Macaca mulatta: one gene and its partners. Each later gene encodes a partner of the first gene's protein in a complex. Links are inferred from orthologs where the notes say so. Each region holds a gene or a part of one and is shown in the gene's direction. Other genes may lie near its edges.

Region 1 (2,327 bases):
AAACAGCATAAAGGAGCAGAAACAGTAACCACCTGACCTGAGGAGCATTGCTTGGGGTTTTTTCTCACACTTGATGTTTCAGTGCCATCAGCTCCTTTTGGGTGACTGTGTGGCTCTCCACCTGGTAATGGTGAGGAGTGATGCGACCAGGCCCGCCTGGAGCAGCCCACCCTCCCTCCATCTGTGGTTGGCCCGAAAGGCTTGGTTCTTGTTCTTTACTCCGTTTTTCTCTCTGTGTAGATCAGGCACAACCTCTCAGAAGTGCTTCTTGCCACCATGAACATCTTGTTCACACAGTTTAAGAGGCTCAAGGGGACAAGTCCATCCTCATCATCCAGGCCCCAGAGAGTCATCGAGGACCGCGACTCTGTAAGATCCCAGCATTCACGAGAAACATTGCTGAGCACCACCTTTCTGGTTTGGAATCCGTTGCACTCTTATTAAGAGACCACGTGACCCAAAACTGCTCTTTCTCCTTAGTACCTGGCAGCTGGATAAATCTCGTGTTAGGGGGCTCCCAGAGGAAATCAAACATTAAAGGGATTGCTGCTCTTCTCAAGCTTAAAAAAATAAAAAGAAGTGCTAGGTCTGCAAATCTTACCTTTTAACAGATCACACAGAATGCTAATTTCTAGTTGACTCCTTAAGAACTTCCTGCACATTTTAAAAGATAAGTTTATTTTGTTAGTCCTAGCTCATTAGTGAACACTTTTATTAAAACCATACTTTATTTTTGATCAACACATTAATTTAATGTGAACCCTTGTTTCTCCTGTCACGGTGTTCACAGTGACCCTACAGAGGTAACTAGCACAGCATCTTATCCCCTCTCACAGCTGAGGAAACTGAGCTGTGGAGTTGGGAAGCAACTGCCCTCAGGTGGCAGGTAGGTGAAGGGGCCATGTCTGGAGGCTGGGTCTCTGACACCTGTGCCCTTTCTGCTGCCTGTGGGACCTCTGGCAGTGCGTGGGTCAAGTGGAATCCAGGTAGCTAGAACCCTGGGGCTCACAGCATATGTTGTCTGATTACAAAAAAAAAAGAGCAAAGGTATTTTTTGACCCAATTAAACCATAAGGGGATAGTACAATGGTGTTTTCTTTTCTTTTCTTTTCTTTTTTTTTTTTTTTTTTTTTTTTGAGGCAGGGCCTGGTTCTGTCGCCCAGGCTAGAATGTAGTGACATGATCTCAGCTCACTGCAGCCTCCACCTCTTGGGCTCAAGCCACCCTCCCACCTCACCCTCCCAAGTAGCTGGGACTCCAGGTGTGCACCACCACACCCAGCTGAGTTTTGTACTTTATATACAGATGGAGTTTTGCCATGTTGCCCAGACTGATCTCGAACTCCTGAGCTCAAGAGATCCCCCCAACCTCGGCCTCCCAAAGTGCTAGGATTATAGGTGTGAGCCACCGTGCCCAGCCCCACAATGATGTTTTTTAAAATTACCTTTCCTTTAACATTTCCGCTTAATTTTTGATGAGACTCTCAGGATCTCAGTGTCTAACATCAGACTTGGTTTTGGCAGCCAAGAAGCCATGTTCTGTCTTCTGCCTCTGAGGATGTCTGTGAGCTCTTTCCACTGTGACCCCACAGGCATTGTTGTTGATAAAACTTGTGCTTAGTGAAAGATGGTGGAAATTTCCACCTTTAGGAATGTGGGTAACAGTGCTCAAGAGTGGTCCACTGAAGTGGTCAGCCCGTCCAGGTGCGCACCAGAGCATTTGCTGGTCTTCTCCTTACCCTGGACAGATAGGAATCTAAACGCCAGATGTGCCAGCGGTGGGCTCATGGTGCCTACCACTTGGCAGGAATCTTTTTTGATAATAGAAACCCAGTGCAGTGATGTTTGTGAATGTGAGTATTGAGATAGTGGATACTTCTTGGTGCTCTGTGTGCCACTTACAGTTCAGGCAGGCTTGCCCACTGAGAGGAGCTGGTCTCTGGCAGGCCATGTCCCATGTCTGAAGATCATTCTCCTGCCTGCCTTTTGCCCACCACTCTCCTTTTTCTTTCTTTTTCTGAAAGGTAGGGGCGAATAGGATTAAGTAAAAGGTTATATATAAAAGTTGCGTGCCCAAGAGGTCTGCAAGCCCACTGATGTCCTTGGTTTCATGGTTTAAAGTGAGATACTGCCCAGTAAGGGAGTGAATCCTTTTACTTGAACATCCCTAGAGCTCATTTCAAAGAGCCCATGCACTTTCATTCACTTCTAAAGAAAATACAATGGGTATTCCTATCACAAAGTCAGATTTCTTTTTGTTTGGACATTAGTAAGGACATGCACTCGCTAGTTTGTTTTACACATCAGGTAAAAAGCATTTGCTTTTCA
Region 2 (3,963 bases), on another chromosome or scaffold:
GCTAATTTTTAGCTTGTTCTATCATACTATCTTTACTTGTGCAAATTTAGCCCATCCTTGTAGGTCTAACGTTTATGCCACCTCTTTAGGAAGCCCATCTTGTGCTCTCTCCCTTCTCTAAAATTTTATATACATCCCTTAAACATATGTTTACATATTCTCCGCCTTCAACTCCCATTCTCAGGCTATTTTATTCCCGTTTATGAGATTTGCTGTTTAGCTCAGTATTTTGTGGGTTTTCAAAAGATTCCACTCAATTTACCGAGCACCTATGCACCAGACATTTTATTAGGTACAAGGAAAAGCGTTAAATAGATATAATCATGGCCTTCAAGAAACTGAACCTGGTAAGGGAGACGAATAAGTAGACATTCAAGTGAGCTTTAGGAGACTTGGTTTGGTAGTGAATACAGTCTCACGTGTATTAACAATTTACAGCACCGTAAAATAAGAGACAGAAGCCAACAAATCCGTTTCAAACAGTTCAAAGGAGGAAAAGGAGAGGGAAGGGCGGTTTAGATACAGCATCACCATAAATAGCCTGATAATCTAACCCTGTGATAATCCAAGTATAGTCACAGCACCTGCCTCAGAATCACTTGGAAGGCTTGTGAGGAATACAAACGCAGATTCATACCTACTGAAATTAGAATGGAGAAAGGGGCATTTAAGTCTGCATTTTAAAGACATTCCCCAGGTACTGAAGCCATCCAAAGTTTTAGAACAGAGCAGAGCCACGCTTCGCAGACCTTGTTCCTCAACTACTGCCTCCTTCTAGCCGGAGGGTGGCGTGCAGCGTGTCCCTTCCCTTCCCACCGTCCAAGTTATCTATCCAGTTTTCGAACGTCGGCCCACAGACCGCAGGACAATACGCGAGAGACTAGGAGCACCCACTACGCAAACCACCACACAGGGATCGGAGGCCGGACCCGCAAAGGATTTGGGGAAAAAGGCATCAGGCCAATCCGAAGGGCGAGAGCGGCCCTAGGAATGGAGGGGCGGGGTGGGTGGCGGGGGGGGGGGGGCGGGGAGAGAGAGGTTTTTTTTTTTTCTTGATTGACGTAAAGCGTACCCAATTAAAATAAAACTGGTAAAGCTTCCGCCATAATGGGCAGAACCATAGCGACATTTCAACCAATCCAGCTCAAAAGTGTCTATGTTGTGGGAGGTCCCTGAGGCCGCTGAGGTCGTTCGTGTCTGTTGAACGGTTGTGGGAGTCTTGCTGCTTTGGGTAGGGGGTTAAAATCGTTTCTTGAGAGGAACGACTCTGTCCGAAGAGATAATGAGTTTAGCTCTGAGGTCGGTAATAAGGAGGCGGCAGTGCTCTCCACACCCCGGAGCGGGACCTAGGGAGGGTGTGTGTGGAAGGGAGGCCGTTTGGGGCCGTGGCGAGGCAGGGGATGCTGTTTGGGATGCGGGAAAGGAGCCTAGGGCAGCCTGTCTGGATCACTCACCCTCTGGGCTCTGGTGCCCTGCAGGGAACGAGACTTCCAGTGCATTTCTACTAAGGAGGTTATTTCTGTCAGCGCGTAGGGCTTTCGACTACCAAAAAAATGGGCTTAGTTGCGAGCGAGGGGGAGGGAATGAAATATCGCGAGGCTTCTACTCTGTTGCTCTGAGAGATCAGGCCGCGGAACATCCCTTCATTCAATTCGTATGCCTGGCCAGGGCCCCACCTCCGCTGCTCTGCTGCTGATGCAATCATCCACCTATAAATTTTGGAAATAACAAAAAACTCTTTGCTATTCTCCCAAGGTCCTGCTTTACGGTGTAATTAGAAACCCATTTTAGTGACTAATTGGCAAACTGTCTCTTGGATTTCCTGTTTCTTTCATTTCTTTACCTTTCAGTTCTAACCTCTAACCCTCTGTCTGTTACCCGCTCCCCCTACGTAGACGTTGTACCGTAAAACTATACATATACTTAGGACACTCTAAAAATGTTCCATGTTCTGCTAAGGGATAATCATGGTACCCTTGGATGGGGTCAGGGGTGGGTCGGTTCTGGACTTGGCCTCTAAAAGTCTCAGGAAGGAAAAGACTGACCCCAGGAATACCCAAGTTTGTGTCAAGTCAGGTCTCATGAAAGGAAGATCTTCCTCAGCTTTGTCATACTGCATCTACTGGTCACTTCCTAGCCTTTTTTTTTTTTTTTTTTTTTGTAGCGTTCAGAGACCAAAACGACTTTCAAATGCAGCTAGATACGTGTTTTAAATACAGTCAACTGGTTTTGACATGTTAATGTGTTACCAGATTGTGTGTTTCAAAACTTGTTCTTATACCAGTGTTGCGGCTCCATTGGAAAACTTGGAGCACATTTAGATGGGCAGCTCTTACGGAAAACATTTCTGGCTTTAAAGTAATTTTTGCTTTTTTCTTTAAGCGTTTCCAGAGTTTATGAGAAGTTTAACCTCCAGTTTACATCTTAAGTGAGACAAGACTTATGAAGCACAAATATTGTATACTTTTTTGACATCTAATATTTGTCATATGTTTAGACTCATTAATATTTTGGGTGATTTGTTAATATCAGTGGAGGAAATGACACATAAATTGCCAAACTGTTAGAAACGTGTAATCTAAAAACATTTTGAACCAACAGTCCCAAAATATAAGTTAATCCAGTTGTATTTTTTGTAGTAATTTTATGAACTTAATTATCAGAACTATCAAAAGTAAACCGATATATGGTGATTGTCAGTTACGAATTTTGGTTTCATTTGGAGATTTTTTGGTTTCTTTAACATTCTTGTAGAATAATGTGAGTGTTTTTGTTTTTTTTTGGTTGGAGTTGGTTGGAGTTTCAGACATAAAAGTAATGTTGCTTATTCACAGTTCTTGAATAAATAAAAAGTTAGGGAAAGTGGGAATAAATAAAAAGCTGGGAAAAGGAAAAGTTTGGTCCTCATTTCTTTTAATAATCTGTAACACTCTTTAGTTTTGGGAAGTTCATATTTATAGCAATTTAGACTATGGAATAAACAGGGCATTGACTCATAAAGGGAAAGTTTCCCTGTCTTTCTCCAAAGTACTTTCTTTTTTGAAATTTAGAAAATAATTATTGGCTAATTTCTGTTAGTAAAGAGAATTAAAGTGGACTAAGGGCTTTTTCTTTCCATTTCATAGAAGTGAGCTTGTAGTAGACAAAACAAAGAGGAAAAAAAGAAGAGAACTGTCTGAGGAACAGAAACAAGAAATTAAAGATGCTTTTGAACTATTTGATACAGACAAAGATGAAGCAATAGATTATCATGAATTAAAGGTAATGGTATACTTTAAAATACTTGTTTCTGTGTTAAAATGATTTGCATTTTGACAGTTGCTTTACATTACATTTCTAAGTAATTATTTTAACTAAATTGGTTTTGGAACTATGAAGGCATTTTAAGCATTCATAGTTAGATTCTATAATAATACTGAATAGAACTCCTAACACAGTTTTTAGAAAATCTTTTTCACGTGATAAAACGAATAGCATTTTAAATGTAACAATACATTCCTAGGGAAGGTGCTTATTTTTCACTGACATAATTAAAGGATTTCAAACTGGAATTTAAACTATTACCATATTCTTTTCACTGTTTTTTTTGTTTTTGTTTTTGTTTCTTGGTGACTCATACTGTTTTCAGATTGTGGGATTGTTGTCTTTTAATCTTATAATTTGTATTTGTTAGTAACATAGTCTCAATCCACTTTCTGTGGTACAAACAACTTCAGTGCTGTTTGATGTTGACACATGCTTGTAGGTAAAAATGTCAACTTTAAGACCTAGAATGTCAAGGTGTAGAGAGGGATTTGTAAATTATTATTTGTCAGGGTATAAGGAGAGATTTGGGTTTAGGGTAGAATGGGACTTACTTTCAGCACAGTGGGAAAGATAGTATTTTGAGATTTTTAATAGCCTTAATGGATAGGTGAATGTAAGTGTTTATTTGATAGTTTTAATTTTTGTAATTTCTTAAGG
Region 3 (3,481 bases), on another chromosome or scaffold:
GTAATAGAAGAGCTGACACGTAGGGAGAAACAAAAATCTTTTGCTACCCTTGAAGCCACACACTCACGGAGCCAGTCCTGCCGTGACGGGCACTTACACTCTTAGCAGAGCCCAGACACTGTTAATCAGCCTGAGTTTCCAGCTCTGCCAATCCAGCTGCGTTTAGAGCCCACAGAGTGGCTTTGGGGTGGAGTGAGGCTGTGAGGCCACTCTGGTCCCCACAGGGCTCAGGAATGGAGTGATTTGTGGAGTGAAAGCCGTTCACCTTTTCTTTTCCCTCACAAAGTTCGCAGCATTTGTAAGATCTTAGCCATGAAAGCCGTCCGCAACAATCGCCTGGGTTCTGCCCTCTCTTGGAGCATCCGTGCTAAGGATGCCGCCTTTGCCACGCTTGTGTCAGACAGGTGGGTACCGCTGGTGTTGGCTTCCCAGGGACTGGGTGGTTGAGGTGGGCCTGAGACTGCTGCTCTGATGTCTGGGCTGGGCCCTGCAGGTTCCTCAGGGATTACTGTGAGCGAGGCTGCTTTTCTGATTTGGATCTCATTGACAACCTGGGGCCAGCCATGATGCTCAGTGACCGACTGACATTCCTGGGTGAGTCCCTGGGTTTTGTGCCCTGTGCTTTAGACACAAGTGGGTAGTTGGGGAGGTTGGAGGGATCATATCAGACCTCCCAGCACTTCCTTCATATATTCCCATTGCATCAGTGGCCCCAGAAACATCCTCCGTCATGTCCAGGATCGTGAGTTTGGCTGTCACATCTCCTTAGTGCCTCCATGTTTCTGTCTTTTTTTTTTTTTTGAGACAGAATCTTACTCGCTCTGTGGCCCAGGCTGCCAGGCTGGAGTGCAGTGGCATGATCTCAGCTCACTGCAACCTCCACCTCCTGACTTTAAGCAATTCTCATGCCTCAGCCTCCCAAGTAGCTGGGATTACAGGCATGCGGCACCACGCCTGGCTAATTTTTGTCTTTTATTTATTTAGCTTTTTGGGACAGTCTCACTCTGTCACCCAGGCTGGAGTGCAGTGGCGTGATCTCGGCTCACTGCAACGTCTGCCTCCCGAGTCCAAGCGATTCTCCTGCCTCAGCCTCCCAAGTAGCTGGGACTACAGGCATGCGCCACCATGCCTGGCTAATTTTTTGTATTTTTAGTAGAGATGGGGTTTCATCATGTTGGCCAAGCTTGTCTCGAACTCCTGACGTCAAGTGACCTGCCCACTTTGGCCTCCCAAAGTGCTGGGATTAGAGGCGTGAGCTACTGTGCCAGGCCAGTGCCTCCATGTTTCCTTTTTTTTTTTTTTTTTTTTTAAAAGATGGAGTCTCACTCTGTCTCCCAGGCTGGAGTGCAGTGGTACGATCCCGGCTCACTGCAACTTCCACCTCCCAGGTTCAAGCGATTCTGCCTCTTCAGCCTCCCAAGTAGCTGAGACTACAGGTGCATGCCATAATACCTGGCTAATTTTTGTATTTTTAGTAGAGATGGGGTTTCACTATGTTGGCCAGGCTGGTCTCAAACTCCGGACCTCAGGTGATCCACCCACCTTGGCCTCCCAAAGTGCTGGGATTACAGGCATAGGCATGAGCCACTGCACCTGGCCTAGTCAATCTTTTAATCCATGACTGTTGTTACGTATTTTGACTCTGATGTTTCCCCAGATTTGGCTCTTTGGAGTTCTTCCAAGTCTGCTTTGAACGCTCTTGGTCTGCATCTCATTGGGGCCTATGAGTTTGGAGATAGAAAAAATCTCCTGCTCTGTAGAGTGGCTGGTCTGTGGTTTTTCTTCTCTTGTTTAGGGCCAGGGTGACTTTTGTAGGTGTCACTTGGGCAATTTGGGGGAATATGCACGTTACCTAGTGCTCTTGTTTCGCCGTAGGAAAGTATCGCGAGTTTCACCATATGTACGGGGAGAAGCGTTTTGCTGACGCAGCTTCTCTCCTTCTGTCCTTGATGACGTCTCGGATTGCCCCTCGGTCTTTCTGGATGACTCTGCTGACAGATGCCCTGCCCCTTTTGGAACAAAAACAGGTGAAGGTTGCAGCAGGGTGGTTTTCTTTGCTTGTCCCTGCTGGAGCTTAGTTGTGTAGCTGTTGGCAACGTGTGTTTCCTCCCTTGTCGTTCTGCCTGCGCACGTGTGTTCCCCTTAGCACCCTCTCTGCAATTCCAGACTCACACAGGAAACACTGCTTAATTTGAAATGAGGTCTTCCTGTACAGAGCACACTGTTGAGAAAGGCATGAAAGGAAGAACGTCCGAACGTGGGCCCCTGCCCAACCAGTGCAGGCCTGGGCTGGGGGCAGCCAAGCAAGGCAGGCTCTCTTCCCTAGGTGATTTTCTCAGCAGAACAGACTTACGAGTTGATGCAGTGTCTGGAGGACTTGACGTCAAGAAGACCTGTGCGTGGAGAATCTGATATTCAGCAGCTCCAGGTCATTTTCACTTCTGGGCTGATGGTTCCACATGGAGGTGGGAAAAGGCTCCCTCTATCTCAGACTTCCCCTTCCCTCCAGAAACACTGGCTCCTGTGGACACATGTGCCTCTGTTCCCCTTAACCTGTGTCATTCACACACCACCTTCTTTTAGGAGGAAATGAGGGATTCTAGTGTTCTGACCTCTACATTTTGCTCTTTCCTGTTCATCATTTCCAGTATGGCCCTTTGGTATTGCTTTCTTTTATATTGATAATTTTCTGGAAGCTACTATGAGTGTTAAGTGCCCTCTACCTTTGGATTAGCTAGAACCTTCGGGAGTGTGAAAGGGCTCCTTCCTACTCTTGTCTCATGCTGGTGCTCTCTGCTTTGCAGGATGAGGACATAGAAACCACCAAGGTGGAAATGCTGAGACTTGCTCTGGCACGAAATCTTGCTCGGGCAATTATAAGAGAAGGCTCACTGGAAGGTTCCTGAGAACTGCTTCATTGTGGTATCTTTGTATGGCAATGTATATAGATTTTTTAAAGGAATAAATGTGTTGCAAATGTAGGTTCTTAGAGTCCACCCAGGGAGTTTATCTGTCCAGTCTGAACCTGAGGTAGTAAGATTAAAAAATGCTTGTTTTATGTTTTTTTTTTTTGAGACACAGTCTTGCACTGTTGCCTGGGCTCGAGTGCAATGGTGCCATCTCAGCTCACTGCAACCTCCGCCTCCCAGGTTCATGTGATTCTCCTGCCTCAGCCTCCCAAGTAGCTAGAATTATAGGTGCACACCACATCCAGCTAAATTTTTTGTATTTTTAATAGAGATGGGGTTTCACTGTGTTGGCCAGACTGATCTCAAACTCCTGACCTTGTGATCTGCCCGCCTTGGCCTCTCACAGTGCTGGGATTACAGGCGTGAACCACCGCACCCAGCCTTCTCTTATGTTCTATTTGATGTGGAACTGTCTTCCTGTGCCTCCTTAGATAAGAAACCACTCCCAGGTCTGGCGCAGTGGCTCACGCCTGTAATCCCAGCACTTTGGGAGGATCCCTCAACCCCAGGAG
Region 4 (4,124 bases), on another chromosome or scaffold:
TCAAAAAAAAAAAAAAAAAAAAAAGAAGGAAAGAAGGAAGGAAACATAATTTAAAAAATCAAGTCCAAAAAAAAGCAAGCAAGAAGAAGAAGAAGAAAAAAGCTCAGCACTGTCACAAGGAATATATGACAAGAAAAGCTGGCAATTTCTATATACCTGTGAAATCCAAATTGTCACTTGCCTTAAGGTATCAATGGTGTGATCCCAAAAGTCTGTCAAAACCTCTTCACTTTCCCCAGATCTTCCATGGCACCTCTGCTAAACTCAAGGCTTCAGTTAACACGCTGACTATTGTGGAACCATACATCGCATAGAGTACCTGAACCTGAAATCAATAAATGAACTGATCTACAAATTGGTTATGGCAAAACCAATAAACAAATTACCTTAACAGATAACTCTTTGATTGATAGATTTCTTGATAAATATGGCATCATCTGACTGGAGAATCTGATTCATGAGATCTATGCTGTTGAAAAACTCTTCAAGTTCCTGTGATCCTTCAAATTATCTTCTCCACGAGGGAGAATGACTACCTATTCTGTATTACTAAAAAGTACAAATGCCAGCAACAGAAAAGACCATATCAACAGGCTTATTAAACGGATAAACTGAAGCATCTAACGTTATTTTTGTAATCTGGTCAGTTAATAGCCAGTCGCTACTTTCAAACTGGAAAAAACAAAAACCGAAACAAAAATGTGACTGACTCCCTCAAGACCAAAATATACCACTTTTTGCCTAGACGGCACTTTGAAATAGAGGGCAATACCATCATGTTTTACGCTTGCCTTTCTACTTTTTAATACAGGTGAACTGTTTCTCCTTAATAGAAAAGAATACCAAGTAAAGAACAAATAGCAGTTATGGAAAACAGTTTCAAAAACTGCAGGGGGCTAGAGAACAAAGGACTGAGTGTAGGGAGAGAGATAAGAGATTCCCGAGGTGTGGGGCAGAGCCCACGCATCTGAATTCCAAGAACAGGCGCTTTCTGACAGAGAATACCAGGAAATGACTTCACGTCTTTCCAGACTATCAACATGCTTCATTTTTCCCAGTAGGAGAACCCAGGGCCTGTTCCACGCCCACAGACGTTGGTCAGGCAAAGCGGCCGCAAGGCGTCTGGGCTAAACGCAACCAGGTCCCGCCCCCGGCCCTGTCTGGTCCAGCCAGGCACACATTGGCAAGCTTTTGCGCCTGCGCCCACCGGGCCGGCACCTGTAGGCTGAAGTCGCCCATGCGCTAGATGGGAACGTCGTTTCTTCTCCCCTACCCCTTTTCTGTGGGGCTATTTTAGGGAGAGACTGCTTCCGGGTCGAAGGGCTTGCTTCCGGAGAGCGGGAAGGGTAAAACGCGGTAGCTAAACTGGAGTCGACATTTATTCTGTGTGGAAAAGGCTTTAGCCATGGACAGGTCAGTTCTGATGATGGCAGCTGAACCCAAAGCCTTGCCCCTCTCGCCTGTTGGCGAAACGAAATAGGTGAAACTAGACTCCCAGAAGAAGCCAAGGAGGTCCCGGGTGCTTCCCCTAAGACTCCTTCCCCATGCCGGGAAATTTGGCTACAAATGGGGAAAGGCCGCTTGGCCTGCGTCGGGTGGGGTACGGATCATAATGGTCCCCTACATTCCCACTACGTTCTGCGATCTATTCGGCGCTTTGGGGCAGCAACACTGATCGCTCCTGGGGTGGGCGGGGTAGGTAGCCCGGCGTTCGAAATGCTAAGTGACCAGCCTGTGATCACAAAGCCAGTCAGTGAAGATACTGGGATCTCAGCTCAGACTTTCTGATTACAAGTGCTAGCATCAGATACTGAGTTCCCTCTGTGATCTGGGTACTGTGCTAGCCGCCTGCAACAAAGATCAGTTATTCAAGATCCTTCACCTCGGGGAATTAGTTGTGTAGTGGAGACAACCAAGCGGTATAAAGTGATAAGTGTTTGGGGGCGATTAAGTCTCCCTGTCACTCTATCAGAAAGACCTCTCAAAGACGGTAACTTTCTAGCTGGTCTTTGCATAATAATAGTACATTATTCGTACTCCAAACATTGAGTACCTACTATATGACTGCCATTGTTGGCTTTGAATATATATTATCAGTTTATTTAATCTTCAGAACAAGAGCAATCCTATGAGGATAGGTACTGTTATCCCTTTTTCATGTATAATACTGAGACTAAAAGAGGTTAAGGAATTTGCTGAAAGTTAGGAAGCTAATAAATACAAGAACCAAATTGCCAACCTGCCTCTGTGTGTCTCCAGCCTACCTGAGGCTCTTTGAGGAGTAATTAGTTGTTGACCAGGTGCCCAAGGGGGCAAATGTAGGTCTTTGTAAAAGAAACATATTCAAAGGTGCTAGTATATGAAAAACAAAAGTACATGTAGCTCAGTGGTCACATGCAGTATATGTTTAGAGTGATGTTTGTGGCTGAATAGAAGACTGAACGCCTAAACTGGGGTCACATTGTAAATATCATTTTAGGAAATTTGCACTTCTATAAACCAGAGAGAGCTATCTGTAGGTTTTTTGTTTGTTTTGTTTTTTAATTTTAATTATTAAACATTTAAAATTTTTTCTATGGGGTTGTTTCCCATACTTTCCTGCTGAAGGAATATCTGAAGGTTTTAAGTGGAGGAAAAGCATATTAGATTCTTGTCTTAAACACAGGCCTTTTAGTCCACACAATTTAGTTTCTAGACCTTTGAGTGAAACTGACAGAGTGTTGTGATGGGACAGGAGACCTCTTTGGTTGAAATAACTTGAAGGGTCATTTTGCTACAATTTACCAGAATTTTTTTACTTACTCTTCTATCTCACAAGCTCTGTTTGTTGTTGTGGTTGTATCTCACAAGCTCTGGTTGTTGTTGTTGTCTGGTGGTGGTTGTTGTCTGGTTGTTGTTGTTTGTTTTTTAATAGTACCCATGGTTTAAAGCATTTTGGATTCTGCAGAAAATCTTTGAAGAGAGAATTCCTGCAATTAGGTAACTTCTCAATCCAACCAGGGAAATAAGATTCACTTTTATGAAGCAATTACCTAAAACAGTGTTATAATATAGATTCCAAGTGTTGAAATAATTCTTTAGGAGAAAATAACATAGTGAGTACTAGAAAGTCAGAGAAATCTTTGTGCAGGTAACATTTGAGTAAGACTTTGAAGAATAAGCAGGATTTGGAGCCACGAGTGCATTCTCAGCAAAAGATCCAAGACTTGGCTACTGGAATGACCTATATCTTAACTTACTCAGGGTCCTTTACTCCAGCTGTGATGATAAAATTCTTTACAAATGCTATATTCTCGTTTCACTTATATAAGCTTGATTATACTACTTTAGGAGTGGCTTTGGAGATATATCATCCCCTGTAATCCGGGAGGCAGAGGTGACACGGACTGCACGGAAACAGAGTGCTCAAAAAAGAGTTTTAAGTATCCTTTGCGATTTAAGCATCATTATAAAAATTGTAACATGTTTGGAATCAGTGTTATAGAATTTTCTTTTTATAAGAGTATTAAATGTTAGCTATAATAAAATCCTGTAGAAATTTTTTTCACTCCACAGAGCTGTCATTAGGTAAATATAATGCAAAAATTTAATAAGATTATATTTCCTTAAAAATAAAGATATTTCTTACTGCTGACTATCATATTGTGGTTAGCTTCTGCTGAGATTTTTATTATTTGAAAACTGACTAAAAACATTTAGTTCAGTGTGTAGTTATCTAAGACTGACGTCTGAGAATTTAAATGGCAGAAGGAATGGGTTATTTACCCTTTGCATTGAAAAATGGTAGCCGTAAAATACCTTGTTCTTGAAAAATGTATTCACATAATTTGTATAGTAAAAAGATGGTTAATTCTCATTTTAATCTTTTCTACATGGAAAACTTTTCTTAACTCATTGTACAGTTCAGGCATCTCAAGATGAAAGTTTCGGTAATACTACACCAAGAAACCAGGTTATCCCTCGAACTCCTAGCTCATTTCGACAGCCTTGTAAGACTTTTTTGCTTTTAAAGCATTTAATAATAATGATAATTATAATAGCAACTAACATTTATTGTAACATGATAAGTATAGTATTTGGTTACAATATCAATAAACACTAATAATAATGATTGCAGTTATTAT
Region 5 (3,500 bases), on another chromosome or scaffold:
AAAATGATTCTGGCTTCCAGGCTCAGGATATTAGTAGCCAGAAGAATGGTAGTGGTGTGATTTTTGGTCAAACAAGTAGCACTTTTACATTTGCAGATCTTGCAAAATCAACCTCAGGAGAAGGATTTCAGTTTGGCAAAAAAGACCCCAATTTCAAGGGATTTTCAGGTGCTGGAGAAAAATTATTCTCATCACAATGTGGTAAAATGGCCGATAAAGCAAACACTTCTGGTGACTTTGAGAAAGATGATGATGCCTATAAGACTGAGGACAGTGATGACATCCATTTTGAACCAGTAGTTCAAATGCCTGAAAAAGTAGAACTTGTAACAGGAGAAGAAGATGAAAAAGTTTTGTATTCACAGCGGGTAAAACTATTTAGGTTTGATGCTGAGATAAGTCAGTGGAAAGAAAGGGGCTTGGGGAACTTAAAAATTCTCAAAAATGAGGTCAATGGCAAACTAAGAATGCTGATGCGAAGAGAACAAGTACTAAAAGTGTGTGCTAATCATTGGATAACGACTACGATGAATCTGAAGCCTCTCTCTGGATCAGACAGAGCATGGATGTGGTTAGCCAGTGATTTCTCTGATGGTGATGCCAAACTAGAGCAGTTGGCAGCAAAATTTAAAACACCAGAGCTGGCTGAAGAATTCAAGCAGAAGTTTGAGGAATGCCAGCGGCTTCTGTTAGACATACCACTTCAAACTCCCCATAAACTTGTAGATACTGGCAGAGCTGCCAAGTTAATACAGAGAGCTGAAGAAATGAAGAGTGGACTGAAAGATTTCAAGACATTTTTGACAAATGATCAAACAAAAGTCACTGAAGAAGAGAATAAGAATTCAGGTACAGGTTCTGCCAGTGCCTCAGACACAACAATAAAACCCAATCCCGAAAACACTGGGCCCACATTAGAATGGGATAACTATGATTTAAGGGAAGATGCTTTGGATGATAGTGTTAGTAGTAGCTCAGTACATGCTTCTCCATTGGCAAGTAGCCCTGTGAGAAAAAATCTTTTCCGCTTTGGTGAGTCAACAACAGGATTTAACTTCAGTTTTAAATCTGCTTTGAGTCCATCTAAGTCTCCTGCCAAGTTGAATCAGAGTGGGACATCAGTTGGCACTGATGAAGAATCTGATGTTACTCAAGAAGAAGAGAGAGATGGACAGTACTTTGAACCTGTTGTTCCTTTACCTGATCTAGTTGAAGTATCCAGTGGTGAGGAAAATGAACAAGTTGTTTTTAGTCACAGGGCAAAACTCTACAGATACGATAAAGATGTTGGTCAGTGGAAAGAAAGGGGCATTGGTGATATAAAGATTTTACAGAATTATGATAATAAGCAAGTTCGTATAGTGATGAGAAGAGACCAAGTATTAAAACTTTGTGCCAATCACAGAATAACTCCAGACATGACTTTGCAAAATATGAAAGGGACAGAAAGAGTATGGGTGTGGACTGCATGTGATTTTGCAGATGGAGAAAGAAAAGTAGAGCATTTAGCTGTTCGTTTTAAACTACAGGATGTTGCAGACTCATTTAAGAAAATTTTTGATGAAGCAAAAACAGCCCAGGAAAAAGATTCTTTGATAACACCTCATGTTTCTCGGTCAGGCACTCCCAGAGAGTCACCATGTGGCAAAATTGCTGTAGCTGTATTAGAAGAGACCACAAGAGAGAGGACAGATGTTATTCAGGGTGATGATGTAGCAGATGCAACTTCAGAAGTTGAAGTGTCTAGCACATCTGAAACAACAACAAAAGCAGTGGTTTCTCCTCCAAAGTTTGTATTTGGTTCAGAGTCTGTTAAAAGCATTTTTAGTAGTGAAAAATCAAAACCATTTGCATTTGGCAACAGTTCAGCCACTGGGTCTTTGTTTGGATTTAGTTTTAATGCACCTTTGAAAAGTAACAATAGCGAAACTAGTTCAGTAGCCCAGAGTGGATCTGAAAGCAAAGTGGAACCTAACAAATGTGAACTGTCAAAGAACTCTGATACCGAACAGTCTTCAGATAGCAAAGTCAAAAATCTCTTTGCTTCCTTTCCAACGGAAGAATCTTCAATCAATTACACATTTAAAACACCAGAAAAGGGTAAGTACTTTGTTGTTAAAGTTAAGCACAATTTTTCTTTTAATGTTTAACTTGATGCACTCTTTGTAGAATACTAATGTTGGGATATAAACGATGCTTTGTGAACACCCCCAAAATATTTGAGCAATATATTTTTCTCCCTTAATAAGTTCACGGTGAGGTTTCAAAGAGCAACAGAACTTAGTTTAAGACATTTCAGTAACTGGAAGATACTTCTTTCATGCTAGGGCAGAGCAAAAGAACTCAGTACAGTGTACGGACTCATGCTTGAATCATGCGCGTTAACGAGTCTTTTTTTAAAAAAAAGTTTTCATTTTCATTTGTTCAGTTTGTCACTCAGAAAACATGATACTGAGGCCGGGCACAGTGGCTCATGCCTAGAATCCCAGCACTTTCGGAGGTTGAAGTAGGCAGATCGCTTAAGCTCAGGAGTTCGAGACCAGCCTGGCCAACATGGTGAAACCCTGTTTCTACTGAAAATACAAAAATTAGCCGGGCATGGTGGTGCGTGCCTAGAATTAGCAGCTACTCAGGAGATTGAGGCAGGAGGATCACTTGACACAGGAGATGGAGGTAGCAGTGAGCTGAAATCATGCCACTGCACTCCAGCCTGGCTGGGTGACAGAGTGAGACTTTGTCTCCAAAAAAAAAAAAAAAAGAACATGATACTGAGATGTTCTCATTTTATATGTTGTATGTTAGTCTTGCTCATTTATTAAATGAGCAAAGAATGAAACTACAGGGGTAAATGAATATATAAGACAATCAGATTGGTGGTATAAATTGAGGGATTCTGGCTTTTTATGTTTTAAAAGCATATTCATTTTGTTTCCCAAAATGTTAAAAAATGAAATATTCTTCATTTTCTAGGATTTAATTTTAGCCTTTTTAAATCTAATCCCATGGCCTTTTGGACTAGCACCCCTTCCTCACAGCCTGAGAACAAAGGTATAGAACTAGCATTCTCAGTATGAGATAACAGCAGTTTTTAGCAGCTGGTAGCCCTTAGCAAAGTATTAATAACTGTGGCTGTATGAAATTAAGTACTTAACACTACAACATGCATGTTAAAGAATGCCAGTTTAAGCAAAGCACCTTTTGACTGGTGGCATGACATCCTTTATTTTTGGTTTGTTTTTTAAAATATACTGGGATGCTGATTTGTAATGTACTTCATTACTCTGTTATTTCAAGTCTGCTCAATGAAGACCTATGTTTTATCTAATGTTTATCTTTAGCCACTAACGTCTGCCAGTATTCAAATGTATTGGCAACGGCATGTATACAATATGGAAGAGTGTCCCTGTAGGGCTGTTCTTTTGTGCACGGTTTAGAAAAATGTTGTATTTGAAAATGGACCCCATTTTTAACAGCCAGCATTCTACAGCTTGTGTATTATA
Region 6 (4,054 bases), on another chromosome or scaffold:
GAAGCCAAGCCACACCCCCAGGCACGTCCACGGGGCTCCTCCCTCCCCCTTCCAACCACAGTTTATAACTAAGCCTCAGCCTCTCCGAATTCTAAATTTGCCCTTTCTTTACCCAAATCTGAGCCCCACCCACTCCCAAGGGAATTTCTTTAGGTCCTAAGGTAGGACCGATGCCCCACCCTTTCCCCCAATACAGAAACCTAAGGGTCTCCCAGGGGAATTACCTTAGGCCCCTCCCATCCACCTCAGAATATTCCGCTTCATGGAAAAACTCAATTCCAGGGACATTTTCTTCCAGCCACGCCCCTTGCCCTAAAATATTTCCTTTTGGCCCCACTGCCTTCCTAGCTTCCATCCCAAACCAGTGCCCAGGGGAACTGCCCCAGGCCCCAGCCCTTCAGCAATGTTATCCACTCAAATCCCACTCCTCGCTTTGCCACTGTCCCTCCAAGCCCCGCCCCTCATTGTTTATTTAGCTCCGCCCCTCTCCGATTCCCCAGAGGCCCCGCCTCTTTGTCCCATCGAAGCCCCACCCCTCAGCTAAAGGTTGGCTTAGCCCCGCCCCTTCTCACAATGGGCTCACGAAATCCCACCCATCGTGACGACAGTGGTTCTAGCCCCACCCACTTAGAGGGCTGCCTCTAAGCCCCGCCTTCTCCCCTGTCAATCTAAGCCAGTCCCCGCCTCAGCAGGTGCCTGGTTTAAAAGGAAGGAAGTTGGGCTGTGAGCCAGAGCAACGTGGAGCAGGGAGGGTGGAGGAGGGTAGAGGGGGCAGGCAGAGAACTGCTACCCGAACGCCAGCCGTCCACACGCGGCTATGCGCCAAGGGCCAAAGCGCATGCTACGTCTTCCGAGCTGTCCAATTGCTTTACACCTCCGCCTTCTTGGGGATCAGTGCGCATGCGCGGACACTCAGGGCCCGCGCTCATTCATTACGGGGCACTGGTAGGCTACTGCGCAGGAACAACCAAGCACGCACAGAATCGTTTAGAAAAAGACCACACCCTCCCTTGGAGTGCGCAGGCGCAGCCACACGCCGGCTGACAAACATCGAGTCTCTAGAACTCTCCCACCCGGCTCCGGGCCCAGTGCGCATGCGCAGCCGCGCGCCTTCGGCCCACCGTACCTCTTCTGCGCCTGCGCGACCGTGATTCCCCGCTCGCAGCTCCCCTCCCCCCAGGGCTCCCTAAAGAGGGCCACGAGCTGCGAAAGGGCGGGAAAGGCGGTTGGAGAGGGACAAGTAAGCGGTTACTCACTCCATGGCTGCAGAAAGGAGAGGCGGCGGCGGCCTCGGCTGAAGAAAGAAGGTGGGAGCGGAGAGCGCAGGCGTGGTAAGCGCGGAGTCGGGCTGGGGGCACAAAGGGGTCGAGGCTACAGAGCCATGGCTGGGGCTACGCAGGCGGAGGCGGAGAACGCTGTAGTTAGAAGAGACCGTGATCTGAGGACGGGGAATGAGGCGGCCCCGGGGACTGGGGACAGAAATACTTCGGGTGGCGCAGCATGGCCCGCCCGGATCCTTCCGCGCCCCGCCCTCGCGGGGCCCCAACTGGGTGGCAGCCCGGTCCCCTCCTCCTGGGGATCAGGGGATCCGACCTCTTCCTTCCCACTCCTAGGGTCCAGGCCCCTCCTCCCTTTTGAGCCAGGGATCCGGCCCTCTCGTAGCTCCGGGGTCTGGTTTCCTCCTAAACTCTGGTTTCTTTCTTTTTCTGCCTGTGAGGTCTGGGCCTGCTTCCTCCTGTGATTTTGTGGATCCAGTCTCATTCTCTTCCCGGAGACCTGCACCATTTAATTTCTGTTTCCCTTTCCCTGCTTGCAGAATTTCCTGCCAGCCACACTTTTCATGTTTTCATCCCCCAACTGCTGACCCCGAGAAACCCTCGTGGGTTAGAGTCCAGCGTGAGTCACAGCACTCTCCCAAACACAGACCTACCAGGATGGCCTCGGGCAAATAGCTTAAGTTCTCTTGCTTCATTTCCCTATCCGTAAAATAAGAAAAATCAGCTCTCCTGGTGGGTTTATGAAACTCAAGACGGTGTCTGGCAAGCCTTATGCACAGAGTTCAACTCATACGTTCCTGTTCAATTTTTTTTTTTTTTTTTTTTTTGGTGAGATGACGTCTCTCGGTCTCTGTCGCCCAGGCTGGAGTGCAGTGGCGCGATCTCGGCTCACTGCAAACTCCGCCGAGTTCACGCCATTCTCCTGCCTCAGCCTCCAGAGTAGCTAGGATTACAGGCGCCCGCCACCACGCCCGGCTAATTTTTTGTATTTTTAGTAGAGACGAGGTTTCACCTTGTTAGCCAGGATGGTCTCGATCTCCTGACTTCATGATCGGCCCGCCTCGGCCTCCCAAAGTGCTGGGCTTACAGGCGTGAGCCACCGCGCCCGGCCTCAACATATTTTATTGGGGCCCAGCCTCACTTCTTCTTTCCCCCTTACAAGAGCCGCAGACGTTGGACTGTCTAACTCTTGCTGTCGTTCTTCTGTCTCCCTCATTCCTCTGAAGTGTCTGTTTCCGGCCATCCTCATCTTCCGTTCCAAATGATGGGTGCCCAGGCCCCATCCCCTGGCAGGGATTCAGACATCGAGGCCCCAGCTGCGTCCTTTTCTCCATCCCTTGCCCTTGGCTTCCTTTCAAACAGTCCTTAGCTTCCACGGGATAGGAACTATCTCCCAACCCTGCCAAAAATGGAAGATCTCCGTTTCCCTTTAGTCAGAGGGTAGCCATCTTGCCCCTTCTCATGCACAGGGCCCTCCACCAGCCGAGGTGGATGTCAGTCTTTTCTCTCTTGCAGAAACCCACTTTGTCCCATCCACGTCAGGACATCCCAGCTGGAGTTCAGCCTTCATCCCTTCTGTGGCAGTTAGGAGACTGAATCAAGGTCCAGAGAAGGTGGAGGAATCCTGGTATTGAGCGTTTTACACAAGCTTCTTTCTCCTCCCTTACTTGTCGCGGGCAGGAAGCCCTTCTTGGGATCTGACCACCTTCCCTTAGAGCACTTATTGTCCACTTTGCCAGCTTTTGAGCACCTGCCCTATATTTCCTTGAGCTTGTAGGGGTTGTGTTATCACTGAGACAGTATACAGAGTAGCAGCTAAGAGCATAAACTGAGCTTGTCCCATCCGTGGGCCTGCATGTGGCCCAGAATAGCTTTGAATGCAGCCTAATACAAATTCGTAAACTTTCCTAAACCATACGAATTTTTTGCGAGTGTTTTTTTTTTTTCCTTTTGAGCTCATCAACTATCATTAGTGTTATTTTATGTGTGGCCTAAGACAATTCTTGCGATGTAGCCCCAGGAAGCCAAATTTTATACATCCTTGGCATAGACTCTGGAGCCAGATTTATGAGTTCAAAACCTGACTGCACCCCTCTTATTAGCTGTGTGACCGTAGCCATTTCCCTTCCCGGTGCCTCGGTTTCCCCTGTGGTACAAGGTGGTGTTAAGAGTACCTGCCTCTGGGCCAGGCACGGTGGCTTACGCCTGTAATCCCACCACCCTGGGAGGCTGAAGTGGGCAGATTGCTTGAGCTCAGGAATTCGAGACCAGCCTGGGCAACATGGTGAAACCCCGTCTCTACAGAAAATACAAAAAAATAGCTGGGTGTGGTGGTTTGTGCCTGTGGTCCCAGCTACTTGTGAGGCTAAGGCAGGAGGATCACTTGAACCCTGGGGTGGGGCAGAGGTTGCAGTAAGCGGAGATTGTGCCACCACACTCCAGCCTGGGTGACAGAGTGAGACCCTGTCTCAAAAAAAAAAAAAAAACAAAAAAAACAAAACTGCCTGCCTCATAGGGCTGATTAAATGAGTTAATCCGCGTCGAGCAGTTAGACTAGTGCCTGGGACACAGTAGGTGCTGCATAAAAGTGGTTACTGTTACTGCTATAATTAAGGTGGATGTGTTCTCATTCCATTGCTGTGCAGTAAGTCCAACTTCCTTCCACTTCTCAGTATAGGTTTTTGAGCAAAAGCAGATGGAATTAAGGGTAGACTGTTGGACAGACTGCCAGTGGTAAGGACGCAGAGACGTGCCCTACCCCAGCCCCCCACCGGCAG

Evidence for each region.
Region 2: NUP93 (region 1) and CETN3 share a complex: the UniProt entries of both Homo sapiens proteins name them as parts of the nuclear pore complex. The link is inferred for Macaca mulatta from reciprocal best matches to the Homo sapiens genes NUP93 and CETN3.
Region 3: NUP93 (region 1) and NUP85 share a complex: the UniProt entries of both Homo sapiens proteins name them as parts of the nuclear pore complex. The link is inferred for Macaca mulatta from reciprocal best matches to the Homo sapiens genes NUP93 and NUP85.
Region 4: NUP93 (region 1) and NUP107 share a complex: the UniProt entries of both Homo sapiens proteins name them as parts of the nuclear pore complex. The link is inferred for Macaca mulatta from reciprocal best matches to the Homo sapiens genes NUP93 and NUP107.
Region 5: NUP93 (region 1) and RANBP2 share a complex: the UniProt entries of both Homo sapiens proteins name them as parts of the nuclear pore complex. The link is inferred for Macaca mulatta from reciprocal best matches to the Homo sapiens genes NUP93 and RANBP2.
Region 6: NUP93 (region 1) and NUP62 share a complex: the UniProt entries of both Homo sapiens proteins name them as parts of the p62 complex. The link is inferred for Macaca mulatta from reciprocal best matches to the Homo sapiens genes NUP93 and NUP62.

The regions. Positions count from the first base shown.
Region 1 is NC_133425.1:52,444,468-52,446,794, forward strand, and holds the end of NUP93 (nuclear pore complex protein Nup93), read left to right. Parts: intron 1-240; coding exon 241-369; intron 370-1,143; coding exon 1,144-1,389; 3' UTR 1,390-1,827; downstream 1,828-2,327. UniProt on the Homo sapiens protein: Plays a role in the nuclear pore complex (NPC) assembly and/or maintenance. May anchor nucleoporins, but not NUP153 and TPR, to the NPC. During renal development, regulates podocyte migration and proliferation through SMAD4 signaling.
Region 2 is NC_133411.1:96,792,236-96,796,198, reverse strand, and holds the start of CETN3 (centrin-3), read left to right. Parts: upstream 1-1,163; 5' UTR 1,164-1,282; coding exon 1,283-1,299; intron 1,300-3,125; coding exon 3,126-3,261; intron 3,262-3,963. UniProt on the Homo sapiens protein: Plays a fundamental role in microtubule-organizing center structure and function. As a component of the TREX-2 complex, involved in the export of mRNAs to the cytoplasm through the nuclear pores.
Region 3 is NC_133421.1:84,926,482-84,929,962, forward strand, and holds the end of NUP85 (nuclear pore complex protein Nup85), read left to right. Parts: intron 1-286; coding exon 287-404; intron 405-493; coding exon 494-594; intron 595-1,875; coding exon 1,876-2,027; intron 2,028-2,326; coding exon 2,327-2,428; intron 2,429-2,804; coding exon 2,805-2,906; 3' UTR 2,907-2,981; downstream 2,982-3,481. UniProt on the Homo sapiens protein: Essential component of the nuclear pore complex (NPC) that seems to be required for NPC assembly and maintenance. As part of the NPC Nup107-160 subcomplex plays a role in RNA export and in tethering NUP96/Nup98 and NUP153 to the nucleus.
Region 4 is NC_133416.1:75,809,287-75,813,410, forward strand, and holds the start of NUP107 (nuclear pore complex protein Nup107), read left to right. Parts: upstream 1-1,324; 5' UTR 1,325-1,405; coding exon 1,406-1,413; intron 1,414-3,330; coding exon 3,331-3,422; intron 3,423-3,902; coding exon 3,903-3,989; intron 3,990-4,124. UniProt on the Homo sapiens protein: Plays a role in the nuclear pore complex (NPC) assembly and/or maintenance. Required for the assembly of peripheral proteins into the NPC. May anchor NUP62 to the NPC. Involved in nephrogenesis.
Region 5 is NC_133418.1:19,345,322-19,348,821, forward strand, and holds part of RANBP2 (E3 SUMO-protein ligase RanBP2), read left to right. Parts: coding exon 1-2,100; intron 2,101-2,970; coding exon 2,971-3,048; intron 3,049-3,500. UniProt on the Homo sapiens protein: E3 SUMO-protein ligase which facilitates SUMO1 and SUMO2 conjugation by UBE2I. Involved in transport factor (Ran-GTP, karyopherin)-mediated protein import via the F-G repeat-containing domain which acts as a docking site for substrates.
Region 6 is NC_133424.1:62,390,486-62,394,539, reverse strand, and holds the start of NUP62 (nuclear pore glycoprotein p62), read left to right. Parts: upstream 1-1,254; 5' UTR 1,255-1,331; exon of another isoform or gene 1,332-1,453; intron 1,454-2,792; exon of another isoform or gene 2,793-2,904; intron 2,905-3,649; exon of another isoform or gene 3,650-3,794; intron 3,795-4,054. UniProt on the Homo sapiens protein: Essential component of the nuclear pore complex. The N-terminal is probably involved in nucleocytoplasmic transport.